Linked DNA regions of Callithrix jacchus. The protein of the gene in region 2 interacts with the protein of the main gene of each other region in a biochemical or structural test. Links are inferred from orthologs where the notes say so. Each region holds a gene or a part of one and is shown on either strand. Other genes may lie near its edges.

What was found. The genes of interacting proteins can lie anywhere in the genome.
Region 1: the proteins of ITGA2B (region 2) and RNF181 form a complex in vitro, tested with the Homo sapiens proteins (2 studies listed by BioGRID). The link is inferred for Callithrix jacchus from reciprocal best matches to the Homo sapiens genes ITGA2B and RNF181.

The regions. Positions count from the first base shown.
Region 1 is NC_133515.1:27,429,392-27,433,599, reverse strand, and holds RNF181 (E3 ubiquitin-protein ligase RNF181), read left to right. Parts: upstream 1-1,408; 5' UTR 1,409-1,447; coding exon 1,448-1,533; intron 1,534-2,179; coding exon 2,180-2,310; intron 2,311-2,481; coding exon 2,482-2,591; intron 2,592-2,762; coding exon 2,763-2,837; intron 2,838-3,104; coding exon 3,105-3,164; 3' UTR 3,165-3,933; downstream 3,934-4,208.
Region 2 is NC_133506.1:71,227,171-71,231,155, reverse strand, and holds the start of ITGA2B (integrin alpha-IIb), read left to right. Parts: upstream 1-1,185; 5' UTR 1,186-1,330; coding exon 1,331-1,719; intron 1,720-3,985. UniProt on the Homo sapiens protein: Integrin alpha-IIb/beta-3 is a receptor for fibronectin, fibrinogen, plasminogen, prothrombin, thrombospondin and vitronectin. It recognizes the sequence R-G-D in a wide array of ligands.

The DNA.
Region 1 (4,208 bases), on a different chromosome or scaffold from region 2:
ACCAGAATAAGTGTGAATTGTGTGGAGCTTACCCTTTACAGAGGGAGTTAGTTCCACTGAGCTCATTACCATCTTCCTCTTTTTTTTTTTCTTTTTCTTTTTTTGAGACGGAGTCTCGCTCTGTCTCCCAAGCTGGAGCGCAATGGTGCGATCTTGGCTCACTGCAACCTCTGCCTCCCAGGTTCTAGCGATTCTCCTGCCTCAGCCTCTCCAGGAACTGGGATTACAGGCGCCGCCACCACACCTGGCTTTTTTTTTTTTTTTTTTTTTTTTTTGTATTTTTAGTAGAGACGGGGTTTCACTGTGTTGGCTAGGCTGGTCTCGAAATCCTGACCTCACAAAGTGCCGGGATTACAGGCGTGAGTCACCTCTGTTGGGAAAGATGGAGGAAAGCACTTGGCCCTGCAGTTGGTCTGCAGCACCACTTAAAGACTGCAAATTTGGGCAAGCCACTTCTGAGGTAAAAAGGGCATAATGATGCTTAGCTCCTGCGACTACTGAGGGGATGATCGGTGTGTAAAACATTCGTCAGTCTAACAGTTCTAAATGCTAAATAGTACCTATCATCCAAATCGTTCAGTGCAGTGGTTCTTAAACCTGCTTCACCTGTAGAATTTATACAAATGTCGTTGCCCAGGCCCCACCACAGATCAGTTAAATAGGAATCTTCGTAGGTATCCTCCGCACCCATTCTTTCCTCAGGGGATTCATGTGTAGGCAGGAATGAAAAGGTGTTAGTACAAGCCACTAGTTTTACAGAAGCTAGGGACAGCAACGGACTGAAGTTAACAATCCCGTGAGCTGGTTGAGGCCCGAGCTCTCCGGCAGAGGGGCCTCTCGCTCTCGGTTGGGGAGGCTTGCCCCACCCTTTATTATTACGCCTAACACATAAAAAACGCGCAGGAATTTTTTTTTTCGGGGGTTGGGTTGGAATCAAACGCAAACTCCTGAACCAGCTAGAGCGCCGCGGGGCAGAATCATCCGGTGGGGACCGGGACAGCGCATCGAGAAGTGCCCTGGCCCAACGCCCGCAGGAACCTGAACCCCTGGGCCAGCGCTGCCTTCTCTCTGAGAGGTCTCTAGCATCTGCACTGTTAAAGCCATCTGAGCCTCAGGGCAGACTGACGACCCTTACAGACCAGACATTTGGATGCGACCACGCCGGAAATTCCCGGGAATTCAGTCTTGGCTCCGATTCCAAAACAAAAATTTCCTCACCAGCCCGGATCTCTGTCATTAGCCTTAGTCTCTGGTCACCTGATCTATTTAAGCCAATGAGAGGCGGCTGAATTAGTACTTCCGCTTTCCGTGCGCATTAACGAGCCACTATGCCCATCCCTCGGATACTCTGATTGGCCAGCCTCTCTCAGCTCGTCAGTTTATTGGCCAGCGCCGCTAGGCCGCGATCGAGCCGGGTCCGAGAGCTGTGTCAGACGGCTGGGCAGCCATGGCGTCCTATTTCGACGAACACGACTGTGAGCCGTTAGACCCCGAGCAGGAGACTCGAACCAACATGCTGCTGGAGCTCGCAAGGTGGGTGCGGGGGGCTTGGGGATGGAGTCCAGTTAGCAGGTTTCTGGGCTGGGGCTGGCTGAAGAAGGCGGATTACCAGGGGCAGCTGATTCTGGGGAGGACGGATGAGTAATCTGCAGTGTTAGTCCGGGCGGTGAGATTGAGGGGTGTGGGAATGAGCATCTCGATAATTTGCGCCGTCCGTTGGGCGGGCCTGGGCAAGGGAATTGAGGGAAAGACGAGCTGGAGTGTGGTGGACTTGGGGGTGGAAGGACAGCAGGCTCTGGGGGGTCCCGGAGAAGGTGAGGCATGGGGGCGGGGTTGGGGCCATGTGCTGTGAGTGGGTATATTCATCCGGAACAGCAGGCACTGCGGACTTGGAATCTGGCTCCACAAGGTTATTCTGCGTGGCCTGAGTAACTTCTCTGAGCCTGTTGCCTCATGTGTAAAATGGAAATAAAAACTTTACGTGCTGCGGCGGTCTGGTAGCAGCTGTATAAACTATTTCCCATCGTGCTTTTTATCTAGTGAGCATCTACTAACTACTAACGGTAGCTCTTATTCCTACTAGCTGGGCAGGGTGTTTATCGGTTACTGTCCAGTGGATTACTGTGGCAAAGAGAAAGCATAGTTTTCCTTTGTTCTGACTTTACCTCCTCTTCCCCAGGTCACTTTTCAATAGGATGGACTTTGAAGACTTGGGGTTGGTAGTAGATTGGGACCACCACCTGCCTCCACCAGCTGCCAAGACTGTGGTTGAGAACCTCCCCAGGACGGTCATCAGAGGCTCTCAGGCTGGTAAGGACACTAATATTTTCTGCTATTTGGGCCAGACCCACCCCTTCCCCAAGTCAGACTGTGGTCTGGTACTTAAGTTTTCCAGGCCAGGTGGGGCAAGTGTCCTTCAGGAGTGGGAGCTTGGGAGGCAGGGACTGTAGCATCTCTCCTGATCAGCACTCCTTCCCAAAGAGCTCAAGTGCCCCGTGTGTCTTTTGGAATTTGAGGAGGAGGAGACTGCCATTGAGATGCCTTGCCATCACCTTTTCCATTCCAGCTGCATTCTGCCCTGGCTAAGCAAGGTACTGCTTCTCTTCTTCCAGCTGTCACTCTGCTCTGGGCCCAGTACTCAAGCTTCTTTCTGTTCATGGACTGTTGGGGGATCAAAGAAGGGTGGCACTTGGGAGCAGGGGAGGGTGGTTATCAGCTTATGAAGATCAGACAAAGGCTAGACACTACTCTATTTTTCTCAGACAAATTCCTGTCCCTTGTGCCGCCATGAGCTGCCCACTGATGATGACACCTATGAAGAGCACAGACGAGATAAGGTAGGGGCTGATGGTTAAGTGGAGGGGTCTTACTAGGCTCCCTCAGTCCTGTCCTTGCTGCCATCATTTTCCACCTCAGCAGGACTGGACTAGGCCTCAGCAGGCCTGACTCTGGCTGGCTTCTTAGTGACTTTGGTTTGTGGTAAGAGCCTCAGCAATGCAGATGCCAGAGGCCTGAAAACAGAGCCAGCCCCATGATAGTTGCCCATCCCCTCACCCACAGGCCTTCAGTTTTGGCCCCTGCCCAGTGTGCCCTCTTTCCTTCAGGCTCGAAAACAGCAGCAGCAGCACCGACTGGAGAACCTCCATGGAGCCATGTACACGTGAGGAGGCTGGGGCTGAGCGCCGGCCCTCTGCATCTTCCTTAAAACCTTGAATCCTCATTAAAGGTTTCTGTACTCACCCTGAGGCTGTACTGATCACAGACCTGGTCAGGGGCTCTGCATCCTCCTTCAGGTCTCTACTGCTATTGGGGAAGGTGGTCCTAAACCGCAGAAGCAGGCTGTGGTTTCCCTCCCTGCTGGCCCATCTAGACTCATGGCAGTGGATTACTGCACCAGCCAGGGCTCCGGCCTATGTGTTCATGTTTGGAAGGCAGAATGTGTCAGGGTCTGGCACCCAGTTAATTACTTAAAGCTGATAAACTAGCCTGCAGCCTCCTCCCATTGCAATTTCTAGTTCACTTTGAAATCCCAGAGGTTTTCTTTTTCTCCATTGAGAAAGCTGCTTTTAATATTTTAAAGTTGCTCTCTGTACTACCCCCACCTTCCACCCCATGCCTCTTACTGAGGAATCAAAGTTCAAACCAGACTCTGAGTGGGGGATGGGTGAGATTATTAGATCAAGTCAGTTCTTTAGATTGTTTAGAGGCCCAGAATGGTTTCAAGCCCTTCAACGGGTATTTGAATGGTACCTGCCATCCTTTGTTTCTGGCAGCAAAGTGTGCTCAGCACTCTCCTGCGGGGCAAGGGCTTTCTCTCATCCTTGGCTTATGGAAAGTCATCCCAGATCAGGTCCCCCCCTTTCCCGACTCTCCAGAACAGACTACAAACATGCAAATTAGAATTCTTTTAATATAAAAAAAAGTACTAAAATACCCACGTGGTTCTGCTGTGTTATTTGCCCTAAAGGAAGTGAGGGGCAGAGTGAAGAATCCCAGTGCAGCTCAATGGGCCCAGAAATGGGCCTTTCCATAGGCTAAGGCGTACCCGCTCCACCTCCACCAGACTTCTATCCCCACTGCTGTTCCCAGCCCCCAATTCCTGCAGCAGGAAACCCCAGTGGTCTGGCTCTGGCACTGGGAGTAGAAGGCACCTGAAGGGCTGGCTGGGTGAGTGAGGACAGGTGACCTTTAAAAACAAAACGACACCA
Region 2 (3,985 bases):
AATCCCAGCTACTCGGGAGGCTGAGGCAGGAGAATTGCCTGAACCCAGGAGGTGGAGGTAGCGGTGAGCCAAGATTGCGCCATTGCACTCCAGCCTGGGTAACGAGAGCGAAACTCCGTCTCAAAAAAAAAAAAGGCCCAGACCAAAGTTCAGAGTTTTAGCTTCCTGTCCTATAAAAAGGTTAAGATTCTTAGCTCTATGCTGAGGCAGTGAGTATGAGGAGACTTCAAAATGGCGCAGGTTGGTTGAGCAGGATACGGCAATAGTTAAGTTTGGTCAGAAAATAGAAATCAAAAGGAAAATGTGGCTATGGTCCCTTACCCCTAGCAGACCTTAAATCTTCCTGAGAACCTGCTTTTTTGGGAAGGCATGAGTGCCAGTAAGACTTGGCACTCCTCCTCTTTCCGCTTAACCACAGAAAATGACTTTGCCTTTCTGCTCAAAACTCATCTCTTCACTTTGTCACCCTATGTTTGCATCTTCCATCCTTAGTGCGTTTCTATTCAGTCTTTAAGCAACATACGTACGACACGTTGGACTCTTGGGTAGTCTCTAGGGCTGTAGCAAGGAGCCTTGCTCTCAAGGGACTCAATCCTGTGAACAGACCATGTGTAAACAGTGGCTCAATGCTGTGCCTAAGTGTGTTAGCCCCCGTGGCCAGCCTGAGGAGTTGGGAAAGGCTCCCTTAGGCAAAGAACCCAACCAGAATCAAGTCTTAACGGTTAGAAAAGAACTCCGTCACCCAAAAAGGAGTGAGGGCCTACTGAACAGCTAACGCATAATCTCAGAGCTTGTGAGCCAAAATTCCCTGGAATGACTCCACTTTATCCCCAATCTCCTGCCACCTCCACCAAGGTCCACTCACCACCCTGTCCCCAGCACTGACTGCACTGCTGTGACCACATTAAAGTTTGGCTCAAGATGGAGGAGGAGTGAGGAAGCTACTGCGCCAGTATGGCTGGTTGAGGCTGCCCAAGGTCCTAGAAGGAGGAAGTGGGTAAATGCCATATCTAAAAAGATAAAGCAGCCTCAGGTTTTATCAGGGACAGCAGTTTCCTTCTCCTTCCCCAACCTCTGGTCAAGTCACAAAGCACCACAGCTGTATAGCCAGATGGGGGAAGGGAAGAGATTAGAACCTAGCAGGCTATTCTAGACAGGTACAGACTAGTTCACAGTCATGCTATCCCAAGCAGAAAGTGACGATGTCTTGGACTAGCATGGTGGTAGTAGAGATGGGGTAAAGACTCAAGAGACATCATTGAGAGACAGAACCAACAGGACTTGGTAATAAACTAGTCTCAGGAAAAAGGAGGAGTCATGACTTTCAGCCATGAACACCCACACTCTGGGTGGCCTCACCCACTTCCTGGCGATCCTAGCGACCATGAGTCCAGGGGCTACAACCCTTTACTCTGCCCACTGCTCAGCAAGTTACTTCAGTTTCCAGTTTGATAAGAAAAGACTTCCTGTGGAGGAATCTGAAGGGAAGAAGGAGGAGCTGGCCCATTCCTGCCTGGGAGGTTGTGGAAGAAGGAAGATGGCTTTGTGTCCACTGCAAGCCCTTTGGCTTCTAGAATGGGTGCTGCTGCTCTTGGGGCCTTGTGCTTCCCCTCCAGCCTGGGCCTTGAACCTGGACCCAGTGCAGCTCACCTACTATGCAGGCCCCAATGGCAGCCACTTTGGATTTTCACTGGACTTCCACAAGGACAGCCATGGGAGGTGAGCTGTGAGGGCAGTTCGGGTATTGGGATAGAGCAGGACCCCTCTCGTCACTTCTGCTGGGTCTCCAAGTTTCCCATTTGTGATAGCAGTTGAGCCAGGTGACTTCTGGGGCCTATTCAGGTTGATTTCTTGTCAAGAATGATGGGGTCAAGGGGACTGGCTCAGGTGAAGGTGTAAGGGCGGAACACAGGTGGGGCAATGGGCACTGAAACTACAGCAAGAACAAAGGGAAGGCAAGATGCCTTATTTTCCCCCCCAAGGGTCAGTTCTATGAACCACTCCACCTTCAGCACCTTGAAATGCAGAAAGGAGCACACGTCCTAAATTAATTTGCAGAACTAAAGTTGTCTGCCCTGCCCCACCTTGCTTTTCTATTCCATTTCCCTCATCTCCATCAAGGTTATAGGTATTTGAAAAGAAGCAATTGGTCATTAATGGTTAGTATTGATCAGGCTTCAGAATCAAGAGTGCCAAGATTAGAGTCTTGGCCCCTCCTCTTCACAGCATGTATCCTGAGCTACTGTAGAAGACACTGTGCCCAGCTTCATGGGGTGGCAATGGCAGATAGTCTTCAAGTGTCAGCCACTTAGATTTCCTCTGCTGAATAGAGCCCATTCCCTCAAAGTCCGCTCCCAAGTTGGCCCACATACAGTGACTGATCAATTCGAAGTGGGCGAGTGGGGAGGGTGGAGGCGGGGGTGGGAGAGGTGTTTGATAAGGGTCCAGCCCTCTTTCATCAACTCTGACGATTCTTTTCTTTTTCAATTCTGCTCCTTCTGTAATAAATAGGAAATTACTTTTTAAATCTCTCCTCGTTCAATGGTTTATTATCTACTTATATTTTCCAGTCCTTTTTCTTTATTCTTATTATTTTTTTTCATGTTTTCTTTTTTCTCTCTTTTTTTTTTTTTGAGACATAGTTTTGCTCTTGTTGCCCAGGCTGGAGTGCAATGACTCAATCTCAGCTCGCTGCAACCTCCACCTCCCGGATTCAGGCAATTCTCCTGTCTTAGCCTCCTGAGTAGCTAGGATTACAGGCATGTGCCACCATGACTGGCTAATTTTTATATTTTTAGTAGAGATGGGTTTCATCCTGTTGGTCAGGCTGGTCTCAAACTCCTGACCTCAGGTGATCCGCCCACCTTGGCCTCCCAAAGTGCTGGGACGACAGGCATGAGCCACCATGCCCAGCCAACTCTAACAATTCTGAAGCATCATTCTAGCTCCAGAGCTTGTGGGGTGTTGGCAAATATTGTCATTGGGCCTGAATCAGCTCAACTTCTTCCTGTGCCCACTCCTGCTTCTTTCCCCTCCTGTAAGTAGTGATCCCATTGACACTACTTAAACATCCTGCAGGCTAAAACATATATCATAGGCCAGGCACAGAGGCTCACACCTGTAATCCCAACACGTTAGGAGAGCAAGGTAGGAGGATCACTTCAGCTCAGGAGTTCAAGACCAGCCTGGGTGACATAGTGAGACCTCTTTTCTAAATATATATATATATATACACACACACACACACACACACACACACACACACATATATATATATATGTATTTATTTTTTGAGACAGAGTCTTGCTGTTCTCCTGCCTCAGTCTCCTGAGTGGCTGGGGCTCCAGGGATGCACCACTATGCCAGGCTAATTTTGTTTTTTTTTTTTTTCCTTTTCTTTTTTTTAACATCCTGCCATAAAGTCTCTAGCATGCCAGGCTAATTTTAAAAATATTTTTAGCAGAGACAGGGTTTCACCATGTTGGCCAGGCTGGTCTTGAACTGCTGGCCTCAAGTGATCTGCCCACGTTGGCCTCCCAAAGTGCTAGGATTACGGGCGTGAGCCACCGTGCCCAGCCTACAAAAATATTGTTTTTAATTAGCCAAGCATGGTGTTACAGACCTGCAGTCCCAGCTACTCGGGTGGCTGAGGGGAAAGGATCGCTTGCGTCCTGAAAGTCAAGGCCACAGTGAGCCATGATCATGCTACTGCACTCCAGCTGGGCAACAGAATGAGACCCTGTCTCAAAACAAAACGACAAAATTATTTTTAAAAATTATAACATTGAGGCCGGGCATGGTGGCTCAAGCCTGTAATCCCAGCACTTTGGGAGGCCGAGGCGGGTGGATCACGAGGTCAACAGATCGAGACCATCCTGGTCAACATGGTGAAACCCCGTCTCTACTAAAAATACAAAAAATTAGCTGGGCATGGTGGCGCGTGCCTGTAGTCCCAGCTACTCAGGAGGCTGAGGCAGGTGAATTG